Arabidopsis thaliana: one gene and its partners. The protein of the gene in region 1 interacts with the protein of each later gene in a biochemical or structural test. Each region holds a gene or a part of one and is shown on either strand. Other genes may lie near its edges.

Evidence for each region.
Region 2: the proteins of TTL3 (region 1) and AT1G12440 form a complex in vitro, tested with the Arabidopsis thaliana proteins (one study listed by BioGRID).
Region 3: the proteins of TTL3 (region 1) and TCTP form a complex in vitro, tested with the Arabidopsis thaliana proteins (one study listed by BioGRID).
Region 4: the proteins of TTL3 (region 1) and RPT2 form a complex in vitro, tested with the Arabidopsis thaliana proteins (one study listed by BioGRID).

What each region holds. Positions count from the first base shown.
Region 1 is NC_003071.7:17,726,738-17,732,391, reverse strand, and holds TTL3 (tetratricopetide-repeat thioredoxin-like 3), read right to left. Parts: upstream 3,914-5,654; 5' UTR 3,538-3,913; coding exon 2,639-3,537; intron 2,552-2,638; coding exon 2,356-2,551; intron 2,276-2,355; coding exon 2,091-2,275; intron 2,003-2,090; coding exon 1,669-2,002; intron 1,588-1,668; coding exon 1,386-1,587; intron 1,303-1,385; coding exon 1,196-1,302; intron 1,084-1,195; coding exon 931-1,083; 3' UTR 556-930; downstream 1-555. Other genes in the region: GRF9 (general regulatory factor 9), read left to right, coding at 125-228. UniProt on the Arabidopsis thaliana protein: Involved in osmotic and salt stress tolerance. May play a role in the control of meristematic cell size during osmotic stress. May function as an adapter protein for BRL2 and may be required for signaling affecting leaf vascular tissue pattern formation.
Region 2 is NC_003070.9:4,240,900-4,245,172, forward strand, and holds AT1G12440 (A20/AN1-like zinc finger family protein), read right to left. Parts: upstream 2,303-4,273; 5' UTR 1,909-2,302; exon of another isoform or gene 1,461-1,908; 5' UTR 1,424-1,460; coding exon 917-1,423; 3' UTR 522-916; downstream 1-521. Other genes in the region: AT1G12450 (SNARE associated Golgi protein family), read left to right, coding at 3,597-3,857, 4,055-4,273. UniProt on the Arabidopsis thaliana protein: May be involved in environmental stress response.
Region 3 is NC_003074.8:5,668,809-5,672,598, forward strand, and holds TCTP (translationally controlled tumor protein), read right to left. Parts: upstream 2,035-3,790; 5' UTR 1,922-2,034; coding exon 1,894-1,921; intron 1,565-1,893; coding exon 1,491-1,564; intron 1,399-1,490; coding exon 1,112-1,398; intron 1,019-1,111; coding exon 901-1,018; 3' UTR 509-900; downstream 1-508. Other genes in the region: AT3G16650 (Transducin/WD40 repeat-like superfamily protein), read left to right, coding at 2,325-2,455, 2,568-2,592, 2,939-3,041, 3,307-3,388, 3,546-3,611.
Region 4 is NC_003071.7:13,002,183-13,007,646, forward strand, and holds RPT2 (Phototropic-responsive NPH3 family protein), read right to left. Parts: upstream 3,565-5,464; 5' UTR 3,392-3,564; coding exon 3,321-3,391; exon of another isoform or gene 3,238-3,320; coding exon 3,168-3,237; exon of another isoform or gene 2,975-3,167; coding exon 2,597-2,974; intron 2,001-2,596; coding exon 738-2,000; 3' UTR 545-737; downstream 1-544. UniProt on the Arabidopsis thaliana protein: May act as a substrate-specific adapter of an E3 ubiquitin-protein ligase complex (CUL3-RBX1-BTB) which mediates the ubiquitination and subsequent proteasomal degradation of target proteins.

The DNA of each region.
Region 1 (5,654 bases):
TAAGCATATCCATGGACATTCTTGATGATAGATAGTTGAAATAGCATCTGGAAGACGATTGCCAGTTTTTATCAATATATATTTTCACTTGGACTTCAACTGTTAATTTTGCATTTGTGTGCAGGAGACGATGCTCATAAGACGAATGGTTCTGCCAAACCTGGTGCTGGTGGAGACGATGCAGAGGTAAGTATAAGAGATTCCTTTACTCGGGGTAAATCAAATTAAAATAAGCCGATTTTGATTCAAGATTTCTTTGCTTATGTTGCAGTGATATGATATGTGTGCACCTGGACAATATGTTTCAAGAACTGAATGTGCGGTGAATAATAGTGAAAAGTAGAGTTTCTCTGTTCCCTATATCATGATTGTCTATGTTACTTGTACTCTGGTTTAGCCCTAAATGTCTCTCTGGTTTGAATGTATTGCATGCCTGTCTCAGGACACTCTTATTTGTAATTCACTACTGTCGTCTTACTATCTATCCTTATGGATCCAATCTTGAAACTTATATTCCTTCATTTCTGAATTGCTGAGATAGAAGCTGATTGGATTCGGTACTCTCTGATTCATATTCTGTCACTGATTGAATCAACAACACCAAATACAGTAAACTCTGTTCAGTTTCTTTCACTGGTGTGGTGAATAATCTAGCATACACAAGCCAAGCGTAAATAGATAATGAAGCTTGCATTTCTTGAATCATTGCGAACATTTACCCATACGTAATATGCCAAAGCAAGCAGAGCCAAACTCCAAAAAATAAATAAAGAAGAATTAGAATCGAATAAGAAGAAAGAATGAATAGTTTGTTGAATTTGACAGAAGAGCTCTTTCCCATCTTTCACATAGAATGCTTTCTGAGTCTTTTAAATAGGCTATTCGGATCGAATCATAGGGAAGCAGATAATGATGATAGGGCTTTTTCAATCATAAGAGGAAATGCTTTATAGAGTCCTCTAGAAACTGATGGCTAGGACAAACCATCTCCTTCACTTTATCTCCATTCTTGTACATCTTAAATGTCGGAACTTTCCTGATACTCTCTGCTTTCGCCAACGCCATGCTCTCCTCCACATCCACCTAATAACATTTCATTTTCTCAGTTAACACATTGAGAAACATAGGTTATACATATAAGTTTAGAAGAAAATGTGATATAAAAAGCATATTTGGAATGTGTTCTTGTTCTTACCATAAAGAAATGTACTAATGGATACCGAAGACATAAAGTGTTGATGAATGGAGAAATTTCTTCGCATTGTCGGTTTGATGATGATTTGAAATGAAATACAGAGACACCTGAAGAGAAATGTTTCCAACTTGAGCAAGACACGCAAAATCTCAACCTTTTGAGACAAATTGAAGTTTCTCATTAGACTTACCGGGAAGTGCTACGGATTTCTTGAACTTATCCAAAGTCGAAACCGCTTCAACTTCATTATTGAAACCTAGGCTTTTAGATTCTTGGCTTCTGTTCATTAGCACTGTTTTCGCTCTCTCTAGAGACTCTGCAACTTCACTGTCTCCTGGAAGTTCTCTTCTCAAGAACTCATAATCTTTAACCGCATCCTCCCACCTACCAAGCTATATATTTCAACACACATTGTCATTCGAATACACTGCAAAATTCTGTCAATAACTGATTATAGTAAGTTCTAATCTCACCTTTCCATATGAAGCAGCCCTACGTAGAAGTGCCTTGATGTAACTAGGCTGGCTTTTGAGCGCATGGTTACAATCTTCAACAGATTTCTCCCACAAACCGAGCTTATACCAACACGCTGCTCTGTTGCAGTACAAAACCGAATTGGAGTCATCTTGCTTGAGACCGTCTCCATAAGCTACACACGCTTCCGAGAATCTCCCCGAACTAAATAGCTCATTACCACGAGTACGTGCCCGCACAACCATCTTCACATTGTTTAAAACTGATACAACCTCAGGATTGGTTTGATCAAGCATCGCAGCTCTCTCTGCCTTGACAACCGCATTCTCAAATCTGCAACAAACCTATCATATCTACTCACTCACCGGTGGAGAAACAAAAATCCAAAGAATCACAACATTTCTGAGTTTCGAAAGCTCACCTTCCTAATGCCATATCAACTTGAGCTTGGATACAGAGCACATAAGCTTCAACTACCATACCAAAGAGTTTCACCTGCGGTTGAGAATGGTAATGATGATCCAATCTTGGAATGCAAGATACACAAAAATCCGAATCCTCTATTTGCTTAAGACGCAAAAAGGCTTCTGCTTTACAAGCTACAAGCTGTCCAAACCAATAGAAAAAACCTCACTGTTAGTCAAAAATCTTTACAAGCATATCATACGACAATGATATGTAATCACCTGAGGAGACGAATCAGCGCCGTTTGCAATGGCTGCATCGGTTTCCTTAATCGCGGTTTTCCAATCTCCAATCTTTCGAGCCTCCCAGCATCGTCGGAGATGCTTCTCCAGCGTCTGTAGCCGTTGGAGATCAGCTTGATCCGGACATTGACCAGAAAAACAAATGTGACGTCTTGCATTCTCAGCTTCACCCAATCTAAAGCAACAATTCACTCCATCATTTCAAATTCTCAATCTTTAAACTAAAAACACAGCAACAAAACAAAAAGCCTCTCAAGATTACCTGAGATAGAGAGAAGCAAGTCTTTGGTGAGCTCTGGAGTAAGAAGGATCAATCCTAACAGCTTCAAGACATTCTTTAACGGCTTCTCCTAACCGCCTCAATGCCGTTAAAGCCGCGGCACGGTTGCTTCTGTAAGCTGCATTTCCCGGTGAAATCAAAATTGCTCTGTCATAAAGCGACAGAGCTTCAGAGAAACTCCCTCTCCTATACATATCATTCCCCATTCTCTTCAACTCCTCCGGGTTTTCGCCATTCTCCGCCACTCTCACCGCCTTTCCGCTGGTTCCTCCTCCTCCGCCGCTGCGTACAACGTTTCCATGTCCGTAATTACCAGTTCCTGTGCATAGAGTCTCAGTCCTACTTGAAGTCCGAGACGCCATTCCAGTTTTCAAGATCCGACCCGACGGACAAATATTTCCCGCCGGTAAAACGCCAGTATTGGGAGACACTGCCGACGTAGCACCGCTACCACCTCCTTGTGGCGAGGTGTGACTCGTTGCTGAAGTAAAGCTAGAGCCAGAGAAGATCAAAGGCGTGCCAGTAGAAGAAGATCTTCTATGACCCGGTTTAAGAATCCGGGTCGTGGTCGGCATTCCGGATCCGGGGCTAGAAAGCTCACCGGAATGACTCTTGTAAGCATCATCTAACCGTTTAGCCATCTGAGAACTCACCGACGGTTTACCAGAAGCAGAGCCAGAAGAGCCAGAGCTGCTAGTAGGAGTCGCAGCAGCGGAAGAAGAAGCAGAGCCACGTGGCATTAAGGTAGAAACAGGAGAACCTAGATCGAGTTCTCGAAAATCAGGTTTGTTGACGTCATCATCATTTCTCTGTAAATCACGAAATCGACCAGTGATTGAATCTATAGCAGGTTCCAACGAAAGTCTTCTAGAATGAGACATCGTCGTCACTTCCTCGTGAGCTGAATCTAAAATGAGACTCAGCTTCCTTTTCTTCTTCTCAGAGAAGTCAAGAGACCACCACCGAAGCTTTTAACGCCGGACAGAAACAAGTACTGTCTTCAGAGAGAAGAGAGAGAAAGAAGAGGAAAAAGAAAGACAGATCTCGTGATAAATAGAAAAGGAAGACGCAAAGAATTAAGATGAAGAAAAAAAAAAGGATTAACCTTGATTAATAAAGATTACGGATTTATCTCCCTGAAGATTATGACATTGATCTTCTTCTTCATCTTCTGTTTATCTCTCTTCGCTCCCGTGTCTTCACGGCTACTTGTCGTTGAAGAAAATAATACGGTGATTTATCGAATTTATTATTAATTAATAAACTCTATAGTCTAAAATAGTTGACTTTTTAATTTTGAGCACAGTGTTCGAATATAAACTAATTAGACTTTTTCTAACATTTAATGAATTTAAGTTTTCTTAATAAATTAAAACATTTAACCCCTTACTAACTAACTACATCTTTTTTTTTTGGTGCACACTAACTAAGTACTAAAGTACATCTACTTTCAAATTGTTGCGTTGTGTTACGGAAACGAATTATGATATAGTACATTGTATCTGTTAATTTGTATGAATGTTAATTAGTATTTAAAATTACTAGCTTCTGACGTCAAGGGCACGAAGATTCAAGCACGTTCACTCATGTTCCCAAAATGTTACTCTATCGAAATGTATAACATCATTTATTAATACAGACTATGCAATAGCATAAGCAAGGCAAGCTAGCTATATGTACTAGTATCATATTAGGATTTTTTAAAAGTAAACACTAAACCTTCGTAGGATATTCAATGCGCCACGACATGTTACTATTTTATCATTATTACTAGTATTTTTTTGTTGCAATATGTTTCATTTATCAAACCCACTTTTAGGGTCGTTGTACAGAAGTCTCGCATTAAATTGGCCGACTCAATTTTTATTAAATTGAATAATTGTAATGGTATTTTTTAGACATTAACATTTTAACTAGTGTTTAGTTAGTTGTAAAAAAAAATCTGGACAAATTACTAAGAAATAAGAAGTTATATTCTAGAAAGTAAATCTAATGATTATTTCTACAGATACAATAGATTTTTATTATAAAAAAAAATTAGTTAGAAGTATGTCAACAAATCACAGACTTTTGGAGTTTGGTTAAACTATTTGACCAAGAAAAATGAGAAAAAATGCCACGTAAGGATTTCAACCCTCGTACTCAGAGACAGCAAGATAGAGGGTAAAATCGTCATTCGATGTAAGATGTATTTATCAAGCCAGCCAAACTTTTGTTTAAGCCACCATATATATTGTACTATTATAAGCATATAAAGTAATCTTTTATTGCAATAGCCAATTTAAATGTAAATAACAAATGTGTGTAATGCAACAAAAATAAAGAAAATTACAAATGAAAGTTCAATATCTATTGCAGAGCTGGCATTTTTAAAATCTTCATTTTGGTTTTCGGGTGTCCTTTGAAAAGGCTGTCATAGTTCTCTTTTTTTCTTTTCTGGGGATTACTGTTTAATTCATTCGATATAGAGTAGTTAATTTGCTGAAACTCATAATTAATTACTTTGTATTAACTATTTACTGTTTCTAGTAGATCATGGCCAGTCCGTACCGTTCAGACCTACGGAACCACTAATTACATTGAACCAAGCACCATGCATGCCTTCATTTTATTTTATTTTTCTCTAGCTAGGTCATGCCTCGCACCCTCAAATTATTTTCCATATATAGTCAATTAATTTTCTCTTGACTTTTTCTTAAATAAATTATTTCGCTATATAAAAATATTTAAAACAATAATAGGATAATTAAGAACATAACGATAATAAATAGTAAATACTAATTAAAGAAAAAAAAGGATAAAAAAATAGAAGGGTGTTGCGGTAATTATGGGGATAATTGCAAAACGGTGATCATGCCAGCTGGTTATTGACTTCTCTGCTGTGTCTGCCAGCTAAGCACACAGTTTCCGTTAACGGCGTTTAGTTTTTCAATAACGGATTATTCTGTTAACACCGACGGATTATTCGAAAACTGACCTCGAGCCCGCCAACGCCAAG
Region 2 (4,273 bases), on another chromosome or scaffold:
CTACAACACCGAATATCCCAACTAGTTCAAACAAATCGATCATGGCCAAAACCGAGCCTCAAGTCTTTAAAGTTTCTTAAGCTATCAAAGCATACTGCCACTACCAGGCAAAAATCACTGATTTCGTTCAATCACTGGGCACTATCACCTAAACATCTCTTAATCTGCCATGGTTCGATATAGGTAAACTACTTTGACTACTTCATTGGATCCACCATAAGCTATATAAAAACTCCACTTACTCTAAGTCCCACAACTCTTAAGTGAATCAAACTTTGTCCAGGTAAGAAGAACACTACTTTCTCCAGCTAAGACAGAGAAAGCAAAATCAATGACTCATTCAATCAAGGACACTTAACACCTAAACTAAAGACACATCTAAATCTTCCATGACTCGATAAAGATACCCTGAACAACATCTTCAGCTTCAGAAATTTCAAGCTACATACTTTATCCACCATAAGCTATAATGCTATATACAAACCCCAACTTGTTCGTCCACTATAAACAAACCAGGGGAATCCACCATAAGCTCTATACGACATCTTTAGTTTCAGAACTATCAAGCTACACACTTTTATCCACCATAAGCTATTTACGACCCCCAACTAGTTCATAAGCCTCATAACCAAGAGAATCCTATATCTGCAAACAATTCAACTTCTCCAAGTAAGAAGAAGTAAGCTGGTACCAATAAGAACACAATTTCATAATATAACCAACACTTTATTACAGAACAACAAATCCAATGTTGCAAAACATGAAACCACATAATAGCAGAATCTAAGGCCTTTCCTAAGAAACCCTAAAAGCAAATAAAACCATAATAAGAGCAGAAAACAGAGAGCCAAACCACCAACATCACGAGACTTGAAAATAAAAAAACAAAAGAGAACACAACAGTTTCTTCACCAATTCATATCCTATCAACCTTATCAGCCTTCACCACAGGATTAGCTTTAGCAATAGCTTCTCTCGCAACTCCTTTGAAATCGAATTGGCACTCGTGACTCTCTGGATATCTATGAGTTCCACAGAAAGTGCTTCCACACCTACACTTGAAACCCGTCACGCCAACTTTCTTGTTACAGCTCAAGCATCTCGTAGCCGTCGATTTCGGTGGATCCAACGGAGCAGCAGCCGAATCACCCCCTCTCGTTGATGAGGAAGACGATCCAGATCCGAGGACGCCTTGAGTGATTTCTTGGCTCTGTTGTGGTTGAGTTTTGGGTTTATTAGGGTTTAGAGATTTCTCGACGGCGGCTTTAGCGGAAGCGGTTTGTTCCTCCGTGGCTCGGATGTCTCTGTAGCATTTAGAGCAGAGGTTCATGTTCGATGGAGATCCGAAGAAGCCACATCCTTTGACGCAGAGCTTTGGCTCTGAAGGAGAGAAGCTTGTGCTGTCGTTTTGCTCAGAACCCATAATGGAAAGATCTCCCAATTCCAAAGTCGAAATCTTACTGCAAAAGAAAAGACAACACAAATCGTGAATAACAGATGAAGAATGAATTTGTGACTTTAGGTTTAGGGTTTTTATTTATGATTCCGTCGAGAAAATAAAGGGAAATTGACAATATCGAAAGATTTAGAAAACGGAGATTCTTGGCTTGTTTCTCAAGCGAGAAAGACTAAAATTATTTCTCATTTATGACTAAAATACCCTTGGAACTCTTTATAAAGTCGAAGAGTAAATGCGTCATTTGTCAACACTTAAGACCAGGTCAGCGTCTATCTCACAAAGACCACTTTACCCTTCCGGCGCAAAAAAGGACAAAAAAGAGATAGATAAGAGTTGTTTAATCTTCGCCGTCAAAAACTTAAATCGAATGGTTCAAGAATAGATGAAGGATTCAAACGAAGAACACAAATCTGCATATCGGCACAGAACAAAACCAATAAGATATTTACCTAATTCCCACCCAAAACTCTGCTTTAGTATGTCGGCGACAATTCTCTCGTAAAGAAAATCTCTGACGGTATGTATCACTGAAAATTTCCGATAGAAACTTCGTGATTTGATCGGAGATGGAGACCGTAACCGAAACCTCTTAGCTTTCGCCAGAGAGAAATTAGGACAGAACAGAAACCAGACTCTTTTAGTTCTTTTGCATTTGTCTTTGTGGTCAAATGGTTTATTCATATGCGGTAAGGCGCACGGAAGATTTAATACATCCCTGATAATATTCGTTCGATGAAACAATCGGAGAGTGATGACGCCATTGTTTACTAATCCAACGGTGGTGATTGGAAGTTTTTTGATGAGATAAAGTGGATATAAAATGGGTGGGGTTATCAACTTTTTATGGTGTTTGTGGATTACGATAAAGTTGGTTCGAGTTCGTGAAGATAATCGGTTTTATATGAACCGGGTTTGGTTTGTGGGGACATGCTTAGCTGGTTGGACGGTGACGTAACAGTAGGATAAAGAAAAAAGGTGGCGCGTTTGTCCCGACGCGATTAGTCCATCGCTCTTTTGATTTGATCGGAATGTGATGATATGTTGTTCCAAATGTACTCTTTCTTCCTTGGGCCTTTTCAATTATCTCTTTCTTTTCTTCGCTAAAACGACCGGATTTTAAAAGTGGTCAGGTCTTTTCTCACTGAGTTTACTTGCAAATATCAACATGACTAAATCGTTTTAATTTACGTAAAGTGTTTTGGACACCACTATATCTAATCTTGAGCTATAATTTGTTTATGCTTGTCCTTAAAATCGAGACTAATTCAATTTCCATTTATCTGGTTTGGAAACGACTAATCGAAATCCAAAATCATCGAACGCTATCATTCAAGACGTTATATTAGCAAGCGACTCTCACTCGCGACTGCATCCTTTTTTTTGGATCCAATACTGACCATAAGGTCCACAACCAAATTAAATTTGATATAGTTTGTGAATTGTTTATAGGGTCCATAAGCTTCTTAGTTCTTATGCTCCTCTTTGGTATGGTATTAATACTTCAAAACGTAGCTATCTAATCTATATATCATCTATCGATATGTTCATTTTTACAGGGAGTCTTGTTCTTATATTTTGCTTACAAGTATCAACTTTGGTTGCGTTTCATTCTCTTGTTCGATCCTCTCGTTTTCTTTTATGTTATGCTCCGTAATATATATAAATTGCCTTCAAGCAACTAAATTTCAATAATTAAATATGTTACGTATTTCTTCTGTCAGTACGATGTATGTACGCACCGTAACGGCAAAGCGAAAATAAAGCGCCGGTCTAAAGCAACTCTGCTTACACATTTATCGGTGGTTCGTGACGGAGCAACAGCTATTAGCCACTCATATGTCTCCACATGTTTGACTACGACACCGGTTTAATAAGTTGAAACTAAACCACCTAATTATAAGGATATCATTTTTTAAAAGTTTTTAAAGCTAAGAACGGAAACGAATAATAAAGATTCTTTCTTCTAACCCCATTCGCTCTCTCCGATCAACACAACATTTGATCTAACGGTTTAATTTTCTCGAGAAACCGAAGGAAAACAAACAGAGGTGCATAACGATTCTGACGGAAACTTTTGAGATATTTTTTTTAGAGCCAAAAGGATTCACTTTTTTTGGTTTTATCTTCGCATCGATCTATGACGTACAGCAATGGCGTCGATGGGACGGTGCCTGAGCTGAAATTGAGAGTCGAAGAAGATTCCGATAATGGTGATTATCTGAAATTGAGAGGAGGATCAAATGAAGAAGATGAAGGATCATCGGCGGAATCATCGAGATGTCCGATAGGATCGGTTACTTCTGTCTGGTTCTGGGTGAAATTGATCTCCTTGGTCGTTTGTTTGGGTTCATTGGCCTTTGTTATCATCAAATGGGTTGGTCCCTTTTTGATTGAAAAGGTTCGTTTTTTTTTTGTCTCTCGAAGATCTGATGCTTATTGGTTACATTTGATTGGATTAGGGTATGCATAATGATTCTGGTTTCTGCTGGGTTTTTAATTGTTGAAAATTAGGGTTCTTGAATTACATGTATGAGTATGTGTTTATAAGGAAGGTTATTCATTTATCATCATTAATGTTGGTGTGATTTGTTTCAGGAGCTGATTCCATTTATAAATTGGGTGAGAAACACATTCAGCATACCGGTTCTCGGTCTTCTACTATTTGCCTCAGTGGCATTGTTTCCAAGCATTCTTCTTCCTTCTTCCCCTTCCATGTGGATGGCTGGTCTTACATTTGGTTATGGAAAAGGGTTTCTTCTGATTTTATCAGCTGCTTCCATCGGTGTTACTCTTCCTTTCTTAATTGGACATCTC
Region 3 (3,790 bases), on another chromosome or scaffold:
TGTTTAAATAGTGTAGGCTAAAAGCCTAAAACGAAAGGAACAACAAAGTTTGAAGAAATAATGACGATAAATACATAAGATACAAGAGAGTTGGAGCAACGTCAAACCGACCAAGACCAAATCACGTTTCCTTTTACGTGAGACACAAATACGTACCAACGCATTTTGGTTGCCCTCTCATCCATACGGACACCACACATACATAAATAAATAGTTCGAATAATAAAACCAACAAACTAAAAGAATAGTAAAGCATAGGATAGGTTGTGTTGTTTGTCAAAGTAAAAGAATACACATAATACATTATTATTACGGCCACATTGTGATTTGTCTCACAACTAAAACCAAGATGACAGAACTCTAGTTAGTATCGATTCCGCACGTGAGATAGAAATCCTTGATAAGGAGCAGAACATGCCTATGATGATGTCTCAAGACATCATGTCTGTACGAAACTTTTTCTTTTTAAAGGGATAAAACACCATTAGACTAAAGTCAAAAGAATCATTCTACAGCATATTCCATGATTTAAAGTTACTAACAGTTAGAGTAACCCACTCGTTTATTCACGTCCATAAGATCTGAATCCAAAATTATTAGACATCTACTATAAACATGCCTCGAGATTCGGGAGTTTAATTTAGAAAAGCAAAGCTGAAGAGATATCACACCAAATAACACAAAAAGTAACGACCAAAATTCAACTAATTGTAAATGATAAACCGTTTTTTGCGGAATAAATAACTTGAGAATCTTCCAACACAGAAAACAAGAAGAGAGAAAAGTAAACTGGCAGGTAATTTTAATAGGGGACGACGACGAAACACAGGACAATATAAAGAAACATAAACTTAGAGAGTCGCTGCGACCGACCACAGTAACCCAACGAGAGCTTCTCTCTCAGCACTTGACCTCCTTCAAACCATGAGCGAAGTACAAAAATGTTGGGTTAGTTGAACCCTCCTTGTAGTAAGCAAAGACCAAAGTGCTGTCATCATGCATACCCTCCCCAACAAAGCTGTAAAATCAGACAACACAAGCATTGATGAGATTTCAGATGAAATATATGTCATGTATAACAAGCAAGATACGATAGATTGGGGTAACTTACAATTGGAAGTCACTGAGCCTGGGGAGCAAAAACTTGGTAGCTCCCTCAATACCCTTCTTGAAGACAGCTTGATCTTCTTCGCTGAGCTTGGGTGTCAAAAGCTTAATGTATTTCTTAATGTAAGCGATGAATCCCTTCTTGTCATAAGTTGGTTGCTCCTGAAGTCTGAAGGTGTCGACAATGTCAACAACCTTTTGAGTAGAGTCATCAACACCTTCATCCTCACCACCTTCTTCAGCAGATGGATTGGCACCAATGTTAACATCTACAGCTCCCACAGTAACCCACTGGATAACAAAATCAAAACCCAATTCAGAACAGGAAAACAAAAATTTAACAAAATCAAAACAAAACTTGAAGTAGAATCGATGACACTGACCTTTCCTTCTACTTCCCAGAGGATTCCATTCTCAATCTCCTTGTAAGGGAAAGAGTCAGACAGAAGCTCATCACCTGTAAATCAATAGCCCAGACTCTTTAGTCATTACTCATAAGATCCCAAACATTAATCGATACAAGCGAATAAACCCTAAAATCCAATCTACAACGAATCGGTAAGCTCAATTAAAGGACGTTTATATACTAATGAATCACAGATCTAACCAAATCACATAAACTAATCCCCTAAGATTTGAATTATCAATGCAAAGAGCAGCAAATCAACGAAAAACCTATGATGCGATGACAGATCTAACAATTCGATAACATGATTTATTCCGATCGGAAGAAAAAGATCGATAGCTACACAGTTCATACCGAGATTAAGGAATTATTGAGCTTACCGGTGAGAAGATCTTGGTACACCAACATGGTCGCTTATTGATTGTTTTCTCTCTCCGATGGATGCGAATAAACGAAAATCGAAGGTTGCGGGAGAGAGACGCAGCGACGAGGGGATTCTGAAGTGAGGTCCTAAGTTTGGTATTTATAGTCGAAACTATAGCGTAGGGTTTTCAGGTAAATTTACAATTCTCGGTAAATTACAATTTTGGGCTTTAACTGTTTCCAATTTTCTATTTTTTACCCTTTCCTTTTTTTTAAATAAAGGAAATAAATCTGAACCGACGCTTAATGAGCCGGGTTTGGTCCAACGGGTGGGGATTCGAGTGTTGGGCTACGTATAAATAGTGTTCGGGTCGGATAAAATCCTATTTCCCTCTCTTCTCTTCCGTCTTTCTCGTTCTGTTTCTGATTGTTCGTGTAAAACCCTAGAATGACGATGATAGCTTTGAACAGGGAGGTCGAAACTCAGTCACTGAAAAAACTCAGTCTAAAATCTGTTAGACGAGCTCGTGAAATTTTCTCCCCCGTCCATGGCCAATTTCCTCAGCCTGATCCTGAAAGGTTAATCAACAGTTTCGCTTGCAATGTCCACTTTTTTTTCTCGAAATTTCTCAGAATTTTTATGTGTATTGACGATTTCTTCTTCTTGTCTGTTTTTGTTCTTGTCTCGCAGCAAAAGAATTCGGCTCTGCCATAAGGTAAGGGGGTTTTCGAATATTTTTTAAATTTTATCTTTGATCGTGTTGAAAATTTTGTTCGCTTCTTCTTTGTTTTGAGTTTGATAATGGATAGCTTTATAGCAAGCTTCAGAGACGTTGAACCTGAGAAAATTTTATAAGGTGTAAATCGAACAGTCAATGGCTTATCACTTTTATAGTTTACCTTTTATCTGGAGTTAGATTCTTCTCATCAGCTACTATTGTTTGAGTTTGCTTTCTAGCATATTACCCTCATCTTTATAGTAAGATGTTTAGTTTGCATCAAGCGTTTTAGTGAACATCAAGTAGAATATAAAAGTTAATGACTTGGACGTTACTTGTATAGATTCAAGTTGCATTTGGAGGCGTAGAACCTGCAAGTAAGCCTACACGTATTGCTGACCATAACAGTGAAAAGACGGCTCCATTGAAAGCCCTTGCGCTTCCAGGTAGTTCTTTTATCTGTTTTTCCTGTTGTGAGACAAAACTAGTTTCCTATTTTCTAGTTTCCCTGATATCTATTTATATTAGTTGTGAGTTTCATTCATATATGTCTATAATTAGGATTGGAAAACAAGTTTCAGTAATGTATCCTCTTAAGAGTATCTTTTCAAACAAACTTCTGCTGCACTAAAAACGCTGTTAGTGTAATCTTTTAGCCTTTTTCATGACTATTGTTTCTCGTTCTGAAAGACCAAATTATTTTCTCCGCAGGTCCAAAAGGGTCCAAGGAACTTCGAAAAAGCGCAACAGAGAAAGCTTTAGTTGTTGGTCCAACTTTACCGCCAAGAGACTTGTGAGTATACATTTTCATTTGGAATGTGACTAGTCCATATAGTTAGTATAAATAATTTACGACATTCTCAAGAATGTTATTCCTGTTTTGTCTTTGTGATTGATGCTCTACTTATCGTGCTGATTGATACTGATAATTATTGATTCTTGAATTGAAGGAACAATACTGGTAATCCAGGCAAAAGCACGGCCATTCTTCCTGCACCTGGATCATTTTCCGAAAGGTTTGTGTCGCATCCTTATCTACTTTTATGGACTCTCTATAACGACACTACATCTAGATTGCGATACCTAGGTGGTACATAAAGCCGCACTAAGGTGAATTGGTGGTTCAGAGTCATGAAATTTAAATTTGGCCATATTTATTTAACCTGAAATGCATCTAACTTGTATCAATGCTTCA
Region 4 (5,464 bases), 4.7 Mb from region 1:
CTTAACAATAGATCAAGGCTGGCTCTTTCCAACAGTTATCATTCGTTAATCTATTGTTGGATCCTATGTCATACAAAAACCTAAATTTCAAATGTTCTAAATATAGCAAGTTCCCATTTTTCCTGTAACAAGCTTATATCACATTCACCGAATTTGCCTACACTAGTCTACCAAACGACTTCTCACTTTGAATTCTATCAGATCCCAAAAAGACTAGACCTTTATGAATCTATCTTTACTCATGAATATCCCCAACATAAAAATTGAAAATTTGACTAACCGTAAGCCATAATTTTCAATTTCTTGCCGTCGCAGCGCAGATAGTCAGGTATTCGGTGGAAATCAACGGCGAACAGTTGTCGTTGCCGGTGTATCACTTGTTTCGATTTGATCGTCGCCGGAAGAGAAACAGAATTTGCGGGCATAAGGAACTTCAATGTTGGGCCTTAATGGGCTTAAATTAAAATACTATTGGGCTTAGTACGTCTACCGCTAATTATCCTCTTTAATTAACGGTTTATTAACCAACTAAAGATCATCTTTTATGAGATTGCTAATTAATACAAAAAATTAGTAAATCAATCTGGTTTCGATTTTCATTTTATTAACCAAGCTCATTAAACAATAAACACACACACCCAAAAAAAAAAATCACGCATCAAGAAGGGAACAATAAGCACACTAGTCTAAAAGAGTTATACACAACACACAAAAGCACTTAGATCAAACGTTTTCTTTTAAGAGATTGAGAATCTTCGTCTCCTTGGCTTAGTAATGTCAACACCTCCAAGATCTTCATCTATGTGCGAAGTATCCTTAGACCCATTTTTAAACGGATTTAACTTCCCAAGTTTCTTGGAAACAGAAGAGAAGAAAGTATGTTTGCTCTTCTTACTACTCACCAACGACGACGAATTCGAAGAAGAAGCTCCTGCACCGTTCTTATTCTTCTGCATATCCGAAACATACATTTTCATCTTCATCAGCTCACTTCTCAACGCTTCGTTTTCTTTAGCTAACGTAGTATCAGCTTGCAGTTGGCTACGTGTCTTTAAAGCTTCAGGGAGAACAACTACTGCTCTTTCTTCTTGTTCTGCGACTCCACTTCTTAGCTTTAACTGATCGTAGTAAAGAGCGTGAAGAACAATGTTTACTGGTAATCTCTTGTTCTGTGAAGCGTGAAGACGTGCGTCGTAAGAAAGCTTTAAGGGATCCATTGAGCTACACACTTTTTCCCTTTCGATCTCGTCTAGATTCGGATGAGCTTTCAAGAAGATGTCTATAGCTCTGTAGAGATCGTCGTCTGATTTTCTAGCGGATTTCGGGACAAGATTCGCAATCGCGTTGAATTTGGAGATTGTTAGGTCTCCGTAAGTAGCGATCTCCGCTAAGTAAGAATCAACTGTTTTAGCTACTCTTTGTAGTGAAACAGAGCAGACTCCTCTGTTGAAGTCTCCACCGTTGAAAACACCAACGTTTTTCTCTTTTTCCACGAAAGCAGAGATGATTCTTCTGACACTATCGAGATCTAGTAACCGTTCGCCGTCGTAGGTGAAAGACGGGATCAAAAGATCGTCGACGGAGACGTGTTCTAGAACGACTGAGATTCGCTTCTCGAGCTCGTTCTTGCAGGTCAAGGAAGTGTCTAAGAAGACCGCGCAACGGAGGAGAGAACAGAGGAAATTGACTGGGAACAGCCCTTTGTCTGAAGGTAAAAGAGAGACGATAGATTGAACAAGATCTCTCTGTTGGGATCTTTCGTCGGATTCGTTATCTCCGGGATCGGAATATTTGACTCCTCTGCCTGAATGGTCTCTGACGAGATCTCTTAAGGATTTCTCTGTGTAGGTGATGATTGCAGAGGCTAAGGAAGAAGGTTTGACACCTCTCTGCTTCATTGAAGATACGACATCGGAGAAGAAGTCGACGTCTAAGATACAGAGTTCCTCTGTCCACCAATTTGGTGGTGTTCGACATGGAAACATTGCCTCGTTGCAAGCCTTTCAAATATCAAAAGAAATAGATATAAAAAACGTATCAGATACTGTAACCAAGCATTACAAAAATTCATGGATGTTAAAATATTAAACTCGTAATTCATTTTGCATTACATAGATATTATACTTGAGTCTCACGGAACTGGAATAGGGTAGAAGTATGATTTGCTCAATTTAAGATTCGGAAACCAAACCGAATTAAATATGAAATATTCCTATCGAATCTAAATCGCAATCATAGTCTGACAACAGTAATCATAGATCTAAACTTTAATATTAAAATAGATTTTTGTTTTTAATAATAAACACTAGAACAAAAGAAGTGAAGAACAATGGTCTCAAACTGATTTTTCTTAGGAAAATTGATAGATGAAATTTTAAAATCAATTTCAAACTATTACTGTATTTGAAACCTATGGAATAACTAAACCAGATATTCTTGCCATTTATTGAAAAACATACCTAAAACTGTACTAACTTACTAGATTGGGTTATTGCAGTTACTACTACATAGGTAGAAAAGAAAAACATAAACACTAGCCAAAATGGAGATCCAACACTTACAAAGAAGTGAGAATGAGTTCTGAGTAAAATAATACCTTAGCACCGACGACGTCGACACAACGGCGGACAATACCAAGATCACGAGAAATAGGAAGGAGAATCTCGCAAGACTTGAGGACAACGATAGCTCCAGAGAGGCTAGAGAGAGCTACTTGAGAAAGGAAGTCTTGTGTCCGACCAGCAAGGTTGTTGTCGCAGTACTTATCGGTCATCTGAAGAAACTCGGCTGCGCAATGAAGAGCCGCCACGTTCTGAACGGTGATCTCGAAGTTAACACCGTAACAGAACTTGGCAGCTTTCTCAAATATCTCAGGACCTCCGGGTATATCCGAGAGATTGATTCTTGTCACGTCGCTATCTTTGGATTCCATTATTAGCTTCCTTATGTAGTTACTCTTAGCCACTAACATGAACTATATATATACAATCATGAAAAATTATAGTTAAAATTTTGTGTAATTAAAAACATGTAAGCTAATGGTTTGTACTAATCTCGCCATCCTATTATTACTCTATTCAAGCCTAGTTCATGAGTATATGAAAAATAAATAATCCTTTTTTGTATTGAAAAATGTTGTGAACCAAGAATTAAGAGTTGTTGCTTACCTTATGAAGAGAGAAATTGGCTTCTCCGACTTCAACAACAACATCGGTCGGAATATCTTGAGAAAAAACCCTACAAAGTTACATATATACATGTTAAAATTTCTGATGATTCGCGCCGGGAGACTCTATTGGTGAAACTAGACTGATTCGTACCATTGACCGGTTCTTGCAAGACTTGAAGACATAGAGTTCATGTTGATGGGGTTTTTTCCTTCTGTTGCCATTTTTTTTGGTTCTCTATTGAAGGAGATGGAAGCATAATTGGAGAGTGTCTATATATTGAAATTTCTTTAGCATGGGTCCCCCCAATCCACCCAATTGCTAATGTAATAATATTTGTGATTGGCTTCTTCTATCTTATTTTTCTAAGTTTTTATTTGTCGTTTTCTGATGTGTTTATTATCTCTTTTAGTTAACTCACTCTAATCCTTGTGTTTGTCTTCGTCGTTTACTTTCCTTTTCACCATTTCCTTTTAACTTTTCCCTATTTGGATATGTACTTGTATCGACGGCTATTTTATGTAATTTAGACCTTCCACATATATACCGATATATGTTTCACCAACTTTTTGATAATAGACTAACAGAGATCTCGATCTTGGTGATTTGTAGATAACATTAATAAACATATCTCTGTAAGTAACATGCTTTACTACGCTTTTATTTAGTAAATGTATTTATTTATCATTAAAATTAAAATTAAAAGAAAAGTGAACGTTTACTAATTGATATTTGGCTAACTACATTCAAATTATCAACTATTATTTTAGTAAATGTTACAGTGATATTCAAGGTTAAAAGACTACAAAAAACATGCAGGATAACAATGATTATAGTAATATGACGAACATGAAAATCTTTCTTATCATAAAGCTGCTATGTGTAAGCAATCTCATCGTACAAGGACATAGAAGCCGGGACAAAGTGTGAGTGTGTGACAGACCAGAAGTACAGAACGGATCTAAATTCTTGATTTCATAACATGCATATGGTGATGATTAGAAAATTTTATAAAGTATAATGATTAGTGAGAACCAATCATCATTCATATATTTGGTTGTTGGCAACAATTTGTAGAGTGGCTCATTCAAAAAGAAAAAAACAATCTTACTTTTTGGTTTGGTTAATGAGAATATGATAGCAAAATTAAAGTTTCACATGCTAAAAGCCTAAAAATTCTGAATTAAAGGAAGACAATGCTATGAATATAGAAAAAAAAGCAACGCATGTGAATAATTGACAGATAAGAAACGAAATTAAAAGTGGATGTACGATTAGAGAGAAGTAGGACCATGGAAGTTAGGGAAGTAGGAACATGTCATAGATAAGGCCCACCCCAAATATGTGGTCGTGCTTCATCTTAGAACCTCGTGGTGTTTGGCTTAGCTACGTCGTCAAATCATCCATCAGAATCCAGTTTCAGTTTTGTCTTCCAATCATGTTTATACACGTGTTCCTATCGTCTTTAAAGATATCTCACGTCTCTTACATTGCCTAGTTGCCCTAATAATTTTCTGCCGGTGCGACTAGTTTTATAAGACTATTTGTAGTTTGAATGTGAAGATTCACAAAATGGGTCTTCATAAAAAGTTAAAAACCCTTACCAGTTTTCGTGATTTTTCTATTTTGATGTAAGTTTCTGTGAATCGATGTGATAATATGTCATGTGAGTCTTTTTTCTCCGGCTGACATAGTAACATGTGATTTGATAAGAAAATTATTTTAGTATCGTGATAAATTTTGTGAGGTGTTTAACTTTTTGTTTAAATCTTAATGCAAAAACTTCCAAACCCTAGATTTCTTTTTTGTAATTGGTTTTGCATCAAAACACAATATCCGAATGTAAAATATTGAATTAGCTAAACAGTAGATGTCCACTAGATCATGAGTAGGCGATATACATATAAATTTCATTAATTCAGAGAGAATAATAATTAAATTTTGTAAAAAGGTGCTAAGGCAAGGTCTTAATACAAGTCTAAATTATTCAGATGAAAAATTCATGTTAGGAAATAGGTTGGACCATAAGAGGATGGTGCTATCAATCTATTAACAAAAGTACAAATACCCTGAGCTGTATTGCCGTCTAGTTTCAATCAACAATTTCGATCATAATGGTTAATTACATCCAGAGGATTGACATATAGGATTGTGGTTTATTTTGGTTTGATTCGGTAAGTAGAACCAAAATGCTATTTTCTGATTAAGGATATGCAATTTCTACACACCTGAATTCAAAAAAGGCATTGGAGCTAATTCTAGTCAGATCATATCCATGATATACATTTAGTAAAATG